Arabidopsis thaliana: one gene and its partners. The protein of the gene in region 2 interacts with the protein of the main gene of each other region in a pairwise test. Each region holds a gene or a part of one and is shown on either strand. Other genes may lie near its edges.

The links.
Region 1: the proteins of BLH3 (region 2) and RGS1 interact in a two-hybrid assay, tested with the Arabidopsis thaliana proteins (one large-scale study listed by BioGRID).
Region 3: the proteins of BLH3 (region 2) and CIB5 interact in a two-hybrid assay, tested with the Arabidopsis thaliana proteins (one large-scale study listed by BioGRID).

The regions. Positions count from the first base shown.
Region 1 is NC_003074.8:9,530,618-9,534,903, reverse strand, and holds the start of RGS1 (REGULATOR OF G-PROTEIN SIGNALING 1), read right to left. Parts: upstream 2,292-4,286; 5' UTR 2,022-2,291; coding exon 1,942-2,021; intron 1,506-1,941; coding exon 1,385-1,505; intron 1,290-1,384; coding exon 1,226-1,289; intron 1,145-1,225; coding exon 1,060-1,144; intron 956-1,059; coding exon 882-955; intron 788-881; coding exon 507-787; intron 422-506; coding exon 183-421; intron 106-182; coding exon 1-105. Other genes in the region: AT3G26085 (CAAX amino terminal protease family protein), read right to left, coding at 2,507-2,648, 2,810-2,934, 3,019-3,081, 3,163-3,287, 3,383-3,443, 3,520-3,902, 3,993-4,062.
Region 2 is NC_003070.9:28,300,464-28,304,749, reverse strand, and holds the start of BLH3 (BEL1-like homeodomain 3), read left to right. Parts: upstream 1-2,021; 5' UTR 2,022-2,347; exon of another isoform or gene 2,348-2,799; 5' UTR 2,800-2,859; coding exon 2,860-3,597; intron 3,598-3,675; coding exon 3,676-4,052; intron 4,053-4,129; coding exon 4,130-4,190; coding exon of another isoform or gene 4,191-4,229; exon of another isoform or gene 4,230-4,256; coding exon 4,257-4,286. UniProt on the Arabidopsis thaliana protein: Transcription factor that is responsive of the nuclear import of SHOOT MERISTEMLESS (STM).
Region 3 is NC_003070.9:9,085,010-9,089,295, reverse strand, and holds the start of CIB5 (cryptochrome-interacting basic-helix-loop-helix 5), read right to left. Parts: upstream 2,493-4,286; 5' UTR 2,083-2,492; coding exon 1,534-2,082; intron 1,461-1,533; coding exon 1,293-1,460; intron 1,208-1,292; coding exon 1,142-1,207; intron 1,041-1,141; coding exon 972-1,040; intron 862-971; coding exon 790-861; intron 702-789; coding exon 564-701; intron 460-563; coding exon 372-459; coding exon of another isoform or gene 334-371; exon of another isoform or gene 284-333; coding exon 261-283; 3' UTR 1-260. Other genes in the region: AT1G26255 (uncharacterized protein), read left to right, coding at 4,058-4,175, 4,230-4,286; AT1G26250 (Proline-rich extensin-like family protein), read right to left, coding at 4,062-4,286. UniProt on the Arabidopsis thaliana protein: Transcriptional activator involved in cell elongation. Regulates the expression of a subset of genes involved in cell expansion by binding to the G-box motif.

The DNA of each region.
Region 1 (4,286 bases), on a different chromosome or scaffold from region 2:
ATGATATGTCGAGCCATGTAGATTCTTCTTATCGAATCATCTTCCGGGATTTTACCATGTTCATACACCTCTTCAAAAAAATGCAATGTTTCTCCAGCGTAGCAGCTACCAGCATATAACGAATTAGTTTAAATAAATGGTGAAACCGGGATATATATGAGGTCAGGTATTGAATGGAGTACCTATCAGCAAATTCCATAAACGAATGGCGAAATCTTTTATTGAGAAGAAGCTTATCGAGTGGCTCGTTTGGGTCAACAGGTCGAAACTCCTCCTTCCGAAATAATAATCCGCTATCGGGAATGCCTAGAGCTTGACCCATTCTTTGAAACTCAAAGTTTTGTCTTTTCTTCAAGCTGATTTGTGAAAGAAGAGGTTGGTTACTCGAGATGGAAAAGAAGACAACGACGAGAATCCCACCCTGAAAGAAGAATCAACTCAGAAGTCTGTTAAAAAGGTATTCCAACTGCAAATATAAAGAACAGTCCTGGTATTAGCTTTCATACCGTGACTAAAAGCACAAATCTTGAAGCAACCTGAAGCCAAGAGATTTCTTCATGAATCTCATTCAACACAAACGCTGTTACCCATATAACGATTGAAGTGGCTGAGACGAGAATTCCTTTCCAGAGATCTCTAAGCTCGTCAAAACGAAACTCTACATGTCGAACTGCTCTTGTGAATGCAATTAAAGCAAGGACATAGAGAGCATGAAGGCCTGCAACTGGGAAAGTCCATTGAAGACCCATGTGGCATTTATCGTTGAGAGGCTTTGTTGCGTGGATAACTAAATGCAAAATCAAAAGCTTTGAGTTATTATTATCCAAAACAAGAGAAACCAAGAACTGCTCAGTACATATAACGTTCAGAACAATTCTTACTTGCAGCTCCGAAGATCCATGGCAACAAAACAAGGGGGAGGAAAATGTATGATTTTACCGGAGGTAGACGTTTCCTACATTGCAAAGAATATGTAACAACCAAACAGCATTAAACTCAATTACACCAATAGAGATAGAATTGGAATCCAAAAACATTTTGATCAACATTGAACCTCACTTGACAAATATGAAGTATAGTTGAAATGCCTGAGTTATACGGCAGCTCATCAACAAACCAAACCCAAGTGGTCCTTCAATCCACACTGAAACCAAATTATACAAGACTTATTGATATAACTGTCAATTTGTTTACGAAGATGAGGAATCATGGTTTCCAAACAAACCTGCCCAAAGATAGCAATATCGCCACCAATGTTTCGTCCTGAATCGAAGCAAATTAACTGACATCTGAAAATTAAATATAAAACAGTCTATTAGTGTAGAAACTCAACAAATGAAGTGATTCTTAAGAGCAACGGAATCATCAAGTCAAGTAGTCTAACCATAATTGAGAAGAGAAGGTTGAAGCTGGAGATAACTTGAATAACAGGGATCCAGAAACTGCTACTGTTAGTACGAGGAGCCTTATGAATCAAACACGGTAACACTGAGCGCGATAACAGCCTAAATAAACAAAGTGAAATCCATCAGATAGAATCAACTTAATAGAGAAATTGAACTACTTGGAAGTTAACTCATGATACAAATCCACTCAATTAGTCCATTAAATCAAGCTTTTGAACTTCAAATCTAAGTTCAATAATCGATTCCGACATAATATATGAATCTTGCTATCAAGATACTGAAACCATCTAATTCCCAGCTAAAAGAAACTGAAACGAAACAAAAGACAGATCTTTTGATACATAACATCAAACACTTACAATACAAAGAGTTAAAATAGCAAAGAGAGACATCGTATGAAAATTTTAAACGATTAAAGACACAAAATTCGAGATTTTGACTCAAGTCAAGAGTCAACAAGCAAACCCAGTAAATGAAAAATCTAGATCTTCAAAACTAAAACCCAAAAATGGGATTTTTAAGCTCGAACACATACACGAAGAAGCAGATGACTGAAATTGCGACGGCGACGTAATCGCTGGGACAACCACCATGTAGAGCACATCCACTCGCCATTTCTATTGTAGCATATCAGCTCTCTCTTCTCCACTCGCTTTCTGGGTTTTTGAGATTTTATTTGGTTTCAAAGCTTGTTGCTTTAATGTCAAGGTAAAGTGTGCAAATTTCTATAAATTCAATAAAAGAAACTTCATTTATCGATGTTGAAACAAAAAGCTTTAAAAGATTCACACTTTCGCATAAGAGAAGAGACGTCTCTGTCTCTTCATTGTTCACGTTTCTCTCTTCTTCTCTGACTTTTTTGACCAGAAGACACTTCCTTTTTCCGGTAACAATTCTGATTGGTTTTTCACTTTTCACTTCTATAATTATAGATTTTTCATACTTGTCCTTTGTGACAAGTTGGTACATTAAAATTACAATAACCACCCTCTATTATAGATTTTTGACATAACCACCCTATACTATTGAGAGATTTCACAAACCCACCCATTAAAATTGTATACTTTTTTAATTCAACCCTGTTGTAAATTTTGTTTATTTCACTCCAATGACTTGATCTTGGAACTATATCGCCACAACAGACCTCCCACCAAATTGTTGAGTGCGTGCGAGGCCATTGGAACGATAAGACTCGACGACAAAACAGCTGCATAACCGTAGACTATACCGACAATCGAAGCCCTGAAAATTTCAAGAAACCGCAAAGAATTCAATAGGAAAACCTCGGAAATGTGATAGAGAGATGCAAGAACATGTTAAAGGCAATCATCTAATATCAAGATTCGGTCTACGCAATTCTCATCAGCATTGAGGTACCAAAATGTTCAGTAAAAACGGCTTACCAAACTGCAAAAGAATACTTTCTTCCGCTCCCGAGATGAAGTAAACCGAAAATGAGGCCAACCGCTACAATACCATTCCAATTAGTTCCGAACAAAGGCATTAATGCACCTCTAAACAGCAGCTCCTGTGAATACACCAAATCAAACCAATGAACGACATTTTCTAAAGGAGAGCCTTTCTGTGTTTTATTGTGATTGTTTATTGTTACCTCACTTATTCCCGGTAACATTGCAACAACAAGGTAATCTAGAGGTTCGAGGGAAGTGAGAATCTGCAAGTAGTGAATACCAAAGGAGACAATAAGCGGAGTTTAAAGAATCGTATAAATGTATATAATGTGTAATGTTTTGACCTGTCGGTTTGCTGCTTCACTAGAATCAGCAAAATCTGGCCAAGATTTAAGTAGCAAGAACCTACTTGACGATATAAACACAACGATTCCAGCAATTAAACCGAGATGCCAAGTTTCAAACCCAACTGCAAGAAAGATCATGCAATACAAAACATGTTTTGGTTACTGAATCTCTCAAAGGATTCTTAGTACACAACATAATCGTTTTCCGAGATGTTACATGGTACATCTATAGAGCAGTCTGGAACCAGTAATCCTTCAGTCGAAGCAACATGAGACGCCTGCAAGCGGTAACCAAATCAGCAAGATACAAATGCTAGAATCACAAAATCATAAACTTTCAGATTTGGGATTCACCTTTCTGATGATCAGACCTAGTGCAGCCATCAAACCGGAAGTTACAGTGCAAGCCTGAAGCACTTTGTCTCGAGGAGCAGCAACAAAAACATCAATGGAGTCCTTTGAAGTTGAAGAATCAACTTGAGCTTCCTCAAATCTTGGAGAAGAAACTTCTTCATCTGTAACATTTCTTAAGCCTATGTCTTTACCTTGTTGTGACTCTCTTTTGAGTTTCTTAAGTGATTTACGACTTGAAGAGGCTCTTACATCAAACTTAAAACCCAAAAGACAAAATAAACAGACTATAGTATAAGAGATCATCTGTTCGGACCAAGAAGCGGCAACATTAAAGAATCTTACTTGTACTCTTCGAGCATCATATAGCTTAGGGTTCGAGCCAACTGATCATCAAGTAAGCAAATTTCAACCAAAAATCTTTGTCGAATTCTCATATATATGATCATATCAAGTTAGGAATCGCACTTACCTACCTGGACGAAAAAGGAGATGAAGAGAAGTTGAAGCTCCTCTGCTCCAAGATTGCAGAGCGATGGAACCCATCCGAGATTTTCGCCTGCCTTCTCAAAGTTTGTCGCTTTGATTCATAAGAGAGACTCTGTTTCCAATATAAAACAAATGAAGAGTTTCACGAAGAAGAAAGCGTCGAAATGAGAGGTCTGTGTCTCGCCAGCTTCATACGGCGTCGTTTATCAGAGAAAACGCACCAAGAAAGAAGAAGAAATGAAACCAAATTTTTATTGTAACATATTTCAAAAGAAGAGGAC
Region 2 (4,286 bases):
AAACTCATGTGGTTAAACGGTCCGACTATTTATGATTAACAACTGCGATTAATTATATCTTAAGGATATTAATTATTATTAGCTGTCATACCATATAGCTAGGTGTACAAAAAGCTTTTTGTCCAAACAAAAGCTGTTGATTTCTTACTCGTCATTTCCTCATTTAGCACTATCATCATCACTCATCATCGATTCATCATCTTCTTCAAATTATATACTCACGATATGTATAATATTATTATTCATAAGAATACTCATCATAAATAGCTTTAGAAAACCACATTCATTTAACCTATTTTAGAAAGTTAAAAATATTTGATCCTTTCAAACTTTCCCACTGTATATACTCCCATATTCAACCAGCTGTGTGTAGGGTTTATCAGTTGTACATTTAAAAACAAACAAATAATCTACTCATAAATATATAAAATTTCATAAAAAAAGAATTTGTTGTAACACATTGATTCTCCTTGAAAGGTTTGTGTCGGCTGTTCCAATCTATGACAAAACCGAAACTCAACCAAAAACAAAAAAAAACATTAAAGAATAAAAGAAATAAACGAAATATACAGAAATTGAAATAAGAATAACATTTATTAAGATGGACACAAAGCCGTTAGCTTCGTTCCGTTAAGGAACGTCTCTACGAAACAAATTGGCGTCCAAGTCTTTCGTTTTTGGCCACTTTCACCAACTTCGCGTCCGACACAGCTACCTTATTTATTTCATTTTTCATCATCTTCTTTCGAATTCTACTTTTTCTATTATTTATTACACAACCTCCTTAGATCCTTTGGGACATGGAATCGACCCATCATAACTTTTCTTTTCATTTTATTGTTTTGCGTATAAATACATTTTCTTCATGTAGGTCAAATGAATCACTTGATTATTTAAGAAAATATGTTTATTTGTTAGTCAACTAATTGGATTTTTTCGTTCCAAGTAAGGAAATTGGGTAGTCACCAACTGGTTGTTAAGGTCCTTTAATCCCTCAATTAAGCAATTGAGCAGACACAACACTTCTTCCTCAAAGCAACATTTCTGGCAAATCAAAATTCTCTAGGCCTAGGGATACTTTAGTAATTTTAATTACTTTATATTCAATATATTGATTTGTTGACAATTCTACTTATATCTTTATTTTTAATATGTAAATAATAGGAAGATATTGAAAAAATGGAGTTAATTAGTTTCCTCTTTTGCACGTCACTTAATAAGAGTATGTGTGTCCAATGTATTACGCGAAGAAACAAGTATATAACGTATAAACAGTAGGAGACCTCAAAAGATGTTTAATTTTAATTTTGATCACAATCTTTTTAGAGAGTTCCGTCGTTATAATAATTTAACAATTATACATCAAAACATCATAGATTAGTTATGAAGTATCATGTCACGTAACACATGTTTCTCGTTCGCTTATAACCAGGGATCTGCAATTATGTAAAGAAATTAATAAAAGCATCTGTTGGTTCAGACTAACCCATGATTTTATCATCACAACCACAACTAATTTGAGATTGCTTGAGTTAATTTAATCTAACAAAGCTTTGGTGGAAAATTTTAATAGTAAAAAATTTCAACGGTTGCTTGAATTTATGTCCAAGCTATTAATTAAACTTTATAAAAACATAGAATACGAAAACTCAACTCTTTTCTTCATTTTAAAAAACATACTTTATTTTTAATTATATTTATTTGAATATAAGCACCAAGTCAAGTCAATGACAACACTGCACAGTATTCCTTCTGGTTCCAATAATATTCTTTTGTTTTATCAGATAACTTGAAATATAAATGCATATAAAAAGTCGCATTTGTATAAATATTCTCCATTATCTAACAATAATCCTATCAGAGAAAAGGAAAAAAAATATGAAAATTTCCGCTCACGCGTGTTATTCTCTAAATGGTTGGCACAGAAAAAAAACCAACAAAAAATTATTAATTTTAATATAGAAGCTTCGGTTGGAATAGAAAAACAAACAAAAAAGAATTACTGGTAGAGAATAGAGATTGTCAAATTTCTCCATAGGTTAGTGATACACTGATATTTTATTAAACATTAATTAAAAAATCTGGGTTTGTTGTCGAGGTTCCAATGATAAGATGGTTTGGTTCTGTTCTTTGTTAGTGAATGCCAAATAAAGTTTTAAAATAGTATCGGAATTTAATAAAAATCGTCTCTTGGGATTGGGTGTCTTCTCTTTCTTTCTCTCTCTTTTTGTCATCGACTGTTCGAAGTTCTTCTTCTTCTCCCTTTTTATCTCTCTGTTCCCTGATTCAGCCACATCCACAATCTCTCTTTCTCTTTTGTATAGTTTATCATCTAGCTCTTTCTCAGGTTTCATTTCTTTAACTATAATAATTCGATTGTTCTTATTAGTAGCTTCTTGATTCAAAGCTATATGATTGACTTGTTGTACTCTGTTTCTCTTTTTACAAAAAGATTTCCTTTTTCGAATTTTATCATCATCTTCGTCTCTGTTAAATTCTTACAAAAGTATGAAATCATCAGAACTTAAAAAAAATTAACTTTATATCTTTCATGATTTCAAACATCATCCTCTGTTTTTGTTTGCGTCACTGAATTGAAGTGGAAACTTTACCTAGGGTTTTGATATCTTCTTGACCTAAATTGAGTATTTCATATTTTTTTCATTTCTTGAATTCATCTGTAATTGCGGCGTATATAGAGATTAAGATGTTTTAACCTCTTTAAAGAATTGTTCTTTTATTTATCCAGTTTCAGTTTCAAACTCACACGTCTCTCTCTCTCTCTTTCTCTTTTTTCAGACAAAACATCAATCGGATGAAACTCACTTAAACAACAAAACACTTTCGATTTATTATCCAATGGCTGTGTATTACCCTAATAGTGTCGGCATGCAATCTCTTTACCAAGAATCCATTTACCTCAACGAACAACAACAACAACAACAACAAGCTTCTTCTTCCTCTGCTGCATCTTTCTCCGAGATTGTTTCCGGTGATGTTCGAAACAACGAGATGGTATTTATCCCACCAACAAGCGACGTAGCCGTCAACGGAAACGTAACGGTGTCAAGTAACGATCTAAGCTTTCACGGTGGAGGACTTTCTTTAAGTCTTGGTAATCAGATCCAGTCAGCTGTCTCTGTTTCTCCGTTTCAGTATCATTACCAGAATCTTTCGAACCAATTGAGTTACAATAATCTTAATCCTTCTACTATGTCTGATGAGAATGGGAAGAGCTTGAGTGTTCATCAGCATCACTCTGATCAAATTTTACCTTCCTCTGTTTACAACAACAATGGTAATAATGGTGTTGGATTCTACAACAATTACCGTTACGAGACATCAGGGTTTGTGAGTAGTGTACTGAGATCTCGTTACCTTAAACCAACACAACAATTGCTTGATGAAGTTGTTAGTGTAAGGAAAGATTTGAAATTGGGGAATAAGAAGATGAAGAATGATAAAGGTCAAGACTTTCACAATGGGTCTAGTGATAACATTACAGAAGATGATAAATCTCAATCGCAGGAGTTGTCTCCTTCAGAACGTCAGGAGCTACAGAGCAAGAAGAGCAAGCTTTTAACAATGGTGGATGAGGTAAGACTAAATCAAATTTGAATACTTTAAAGTGAGAGAGAGACTTTGGAGTTTTGAGTTTTGAAAACATTTTTGCAGGTAGATAAAAGGTATAACCAATACCATCATCAAATGGAAGCTTTAGCATCGTCTTTCGAGATGGTAACAGGTCTTGGAGCAGCTAAGCCTTACACATCCGTAGCTCTGAATAGAATCTCTCGCCATTTCCGCTGTTTACGCGACGCGATAAAAGAACAGATTCAGGTGATCAGAGGGAAGCTTGGGGAGAGAGAGACTTCTGATGAACAAGGAGAGAGGATACCGCGTCTTAGGTACTTAGATCAACGGTTGAGACAACAGAGAGCTTTGCATCAACAACTTGGAATGGTTAGACCAGCTTGGAGACCACAAAGAGGCTTACCTGAAAACTCTGTCTCTATACTTCGAGCTTGGCTCTTTGAGCATTTCCTTCATCCGTAAGTTTGTTGTTTGTAAGACACTTTCTTTCTGCTCCTCATTGCTTCATTGATAACCATTTCAATCGTTTTTGTAGATATCCTAAAGAATCAGAGAAAATCATGCTTTCAAAGCAGACAGGACTATCGAAAAACCAGGTTCTTATTGGCTCAATCTTTGGTCTTGCTTTTATATGAGTGGTATTCTGATTCTTGGCAATTTAGGTTGCAAATTGGTTTATTAACGCGAGAGTT
Region 3 (4,286 bases), about 19 Mb from region 2:
TTCCTCTTCCCTTGCATGGATTTATATGTACAAAAAAGAAGCAGACAATAGCTACAAAAGAAGCAGACAGTAGCTATTCATTACACAACATTGTTGATTCTTACTCTCGACTCTTTCTCCGGGAGCTGTCAATATTTCAAAGACAAAATCTGCTTCCTCCTCTGTTTCGTTTTCACTCTTCTGTTCGAAGTTAATAAAATTCTCGACCGCGGCGCACTATATCAGCAGCTAAAGCTGAGTACAAAGTGAAGAAGAAACATCTACGGCTCCACCTTCATGTCAGCTGTAAGATCAGATAAACATGAAAAGCTTTAGCGAGTTTCAAGTATCTGGTTACAAAAGTATGAAACTTATAGGGCTTTTACTTTCACCTGTTGTATCTTCATGATCAGGTGCAGTGCCGGTTTCATGGTTCATGTGGACAAGATTGTGGTGATCACTTTCATATCCATGTGTTTCCTGTTCAAAACTCACTAACAATATTAGATGAATGCAAGAGAAAGAAATGATTCTGCAAAGATATGTTTATTGTTGGAGTACAATGCGCAACCAAATATATGTACCTGCCGTTTTAATCCTCCACTCAATAGCGACATTGAGGAAATGTTCGGTTGCATGAATCCTGTTTGAGAGAGATACGATACAGGAGGATAAAGCATCGACATGTTGTGGGGAAATGTCGGTGCAGATGATTGAAGAGCCTGCATGAATATATAGAAGACATCAACATCATATCAATGAAGTTACTCGTCAAATGATAAGAAAGAGAAGGGTTTCAACATATGTTACATCTTTTGCAAGGAGGCTTTCGAGGTTAAAATCGAGCACAGGATTCACAGCCGAAAGTTTCATCGATAAAAACTGAAATGCATGGAAGAAGTAACTAACACAAAGTGAGGTTGCTAATTAAATGAAGTCTCAAGAACAGACACTAAGAAAATAGGAAATTCCCAAAGCAAACAAAGGGAAACCTCGATTTGGCATTGAAGTGATTGCACATAGTTAATGATTTCATCGAGCATAACTGCCTTACCAGTCACCTACACAATAAATGCAATGTCCCATTTATATGAAAAGAAAACAGCTTCAGCTTCCATTCTTCTACATGTAGACATCAACATCTAAAAAGAAAAGGACTTACCTTGTCGCAACCTGGCACAAGATCTTGCAAGAACTTCATCCTTTCACTGATTTTTTCTCTTCTTACCTACGATAACAAGTTTAACCAAATTCAAATACAACAACAAAAGAAATTTGCTTTCTATTCAACTTCAAAAAAATATTGTTCCTACTCTTTCAGCAAGACTGTGACTATTAGTAGCCTGGCCTCTTCGTGCCCTCATGTGAATATACCCATCCTTTAAAGAATCAGAAGGTTGCTTCTCACTGTTTGTCTTGTTCGCATTTGAAGTTGGACTTTGCTCATCCTTTTGCTTTTTATCTTCTTCTTCTTCACAATCCTACCAACAGAAATATTATCAACGAAAGACCAAAAAACACAAAATACAAAAGGAGTGCTACAAATCTCTATACCTTCCCAATTCTTTTCCTCTTCTTACTACTAAACCCCTTGGAAGATGTTTGCCCACACTTAGCATCATCATGACCATTACCTCCACTAGATTGAGAATCCTCTGATACATTATTAATCGATCTCTCTTTCACTAACTTAGATGCATCAGTAAGAGGACCATTATCTAGTTTGGATCCACTAGGAATCTGTGTATCTTGAAGAAACAAGCCAGTTGAATCTGGAACTCCAAGAGATGATTGTTGTTGGTTCATCATCATTTCACCACATCCAAAAAAAGAAAACTTTGCAGCACGCTCAATGAATCCTGAATCTGCAGGGAACTGAGCCATATTCCAACCCATTTCAAGAGGTATATCAATATTATTATTACCTCTAAAGGAAGTGTCTGCATCTGTGTGGACATTGAAACCACCATCATGCCAAAGAGTTTCTCTGAATGAATCCATCATCGGAGAAGGACCCAACATTGGATTCTCCGGAGGATACAAATCCACTGGCGTATTGACCAAATCCTTCTTCTTTGCGGCAAACTCGTCTTTGTCACTCATTCTCTTAAAAGTAGTAAAGCCCCAATTTTGATCACATGAAACTCAACTTTCTACACAAGAACTGAGGAATTGAAGTAAACACACGAGCAAATCAGAGAAAAGTTGAGAATAAAAGAGTAGAATCAGTCAACGGTAGATAAAGGAGCATACTTTAAGTACAAACAAACCTTAATTCAGAGAAAAAGATAAAGAAAACATTGAGTCATGTTTTTCAAAAGAGAATCATTATTCGTGGTAAAAAGTGTCAGAATTTCAGATTCTGTGCCACTTTCTCTCTACGAGTTTTCAAATATCTTTTCCTTTCAAATTTTCTTACCAAAAAGCTTTATTGAACTGGGTTCTGTTTCTGCTGCAATAAAGAGAAGAGCGTTGATGGTCTTTTTAGAGATGGAGAGTTAAAAACGAGTTTAAGAAGAATGAAAAAAAAAAAGTTCCTGAATTCATATACCCACGCTTGCATTAAAAACAGAGCTTATGATCATTAAACATAAACATTAAACACAGCCATGATCTGAACATTAAAAATGTTAGGGTGTTTTGAGAAATGGTCAAATGCAAAACTAAGGATTTCATACAAAAGAAGCCTAACAAATCCGATGAAATTAACGTCTCAAATAAAAAATGAAGACATTAATCTCAATTCTTAGAGATTTTTGGCTAGTGAGTAGTGTCATAGGTCCAAATTTTGGAATTCTAAAAGAGTAATTTACATGCATGCCCATCCAAAGATAGCACAACTCGTGTAATTGTCGAGCTAGCTCCTATGAAAGTAAAAGAATCATTTTAGATTAGATCAACTTAATATGTGCTTAGAAAAATGTTGTATGTTTTATCACGATTTACCTATCAACCCAATATCAAGCTGTAATCGTTTTTTTTTTTGACACCACTTAAATTGTTAAACTATTATGCAAAAGTGAAGGAGGGAGCTGCTGGACGGTCCGGTGAGCACGAGGGCCGAGGACATAATTAGTTGGCCTTGGGACTTTCAATTGCTAAAGACCTAAATAAATATTTTAAGAATATTCAACCCACACCTTTTACTTTTATCATTTCTTCCTAGATTTTTGTGTGTGATTTTAGGTCGTGTGATTCTCAAAACTGGTGAGTTGTGGTGCCCGTCCTGAAGACAAGCCCACCTAAACAGTGGTTTTGGATGTGTTTTTTTTTCTCCCATACCTTTGTTTTTTTTTTATAACATTTTCTAGTTAAACAAAAATTATGGATCTATTGTCTTGTATGGAAACTAAGCTATGATAAATTTATAATGTTTTTCAGTCATATTTTGGCGTTGGTGTTCGAATTCGTGACTTTGAAAATATTTTAATATCCATTTAAGGATGATCAACTTAGAATACCAATTTGAGAACCATCCATGCCGGATCAAAAATGTTAATTGCATGCCCCTAGACTAAGTCTATACATATATTAAAATATATAATTAGGAAATTTTCGCTTTATATTCTTGTTGAAATGAATCAATCAATCCTCGTATTGACCTTTACAATACATGTACTAATTAAGATAGAAACTAAGATATACTAAAGCTTTCAAGTTTCAGTTTCCATATAAATTTCGGCCATATATAACAATTTAAACTAGTTTTATTACAGTCGGTATTCAAATCCATCATACCGCTAACTTTAAATGTTCTTAGATATAAACGGTTGAGCTACTGACTCTTGAAACTTCCATATGATCTTTACTACAACGTTTGTTCAATATATTTACCCGATCGTCTAAAAAATATTGAATTTATTCAACAGTTATAAATGGAAGACAAAACATTGGTCTTTTCAAAGGAAAAACAACATCAAAAGCAAAAAGCCAAAGCGAAAATGCACATAGATATTTAAGTACACACATAATTCCATTTCTTATAATGACAACGTCTCGAAAGGGAAAGCTTTTAAACCGTGTGGATACACTTATTAAATACACTCTTACTTTGAGTCTCGCTTCATCATGTATGTAAATGGTTAGTATAGTGGTGGAGAGGGAGAGCTATAGTAAGGCGGTGGTGATGGCGAACTATAGACATATGGAGGAGGCTTGTAAACATATGGAGCCGGCGGTGGAGAGTAGCTATAGACATATGGAGGAGGCTTGTAAACATATGGAGCCGGCGGTGGAGAGTAGCTATAGACATATGGGGGAGGTTTGTAAACATATGGAGCTGGCGGTGGAGAGTAGTTATAGACATA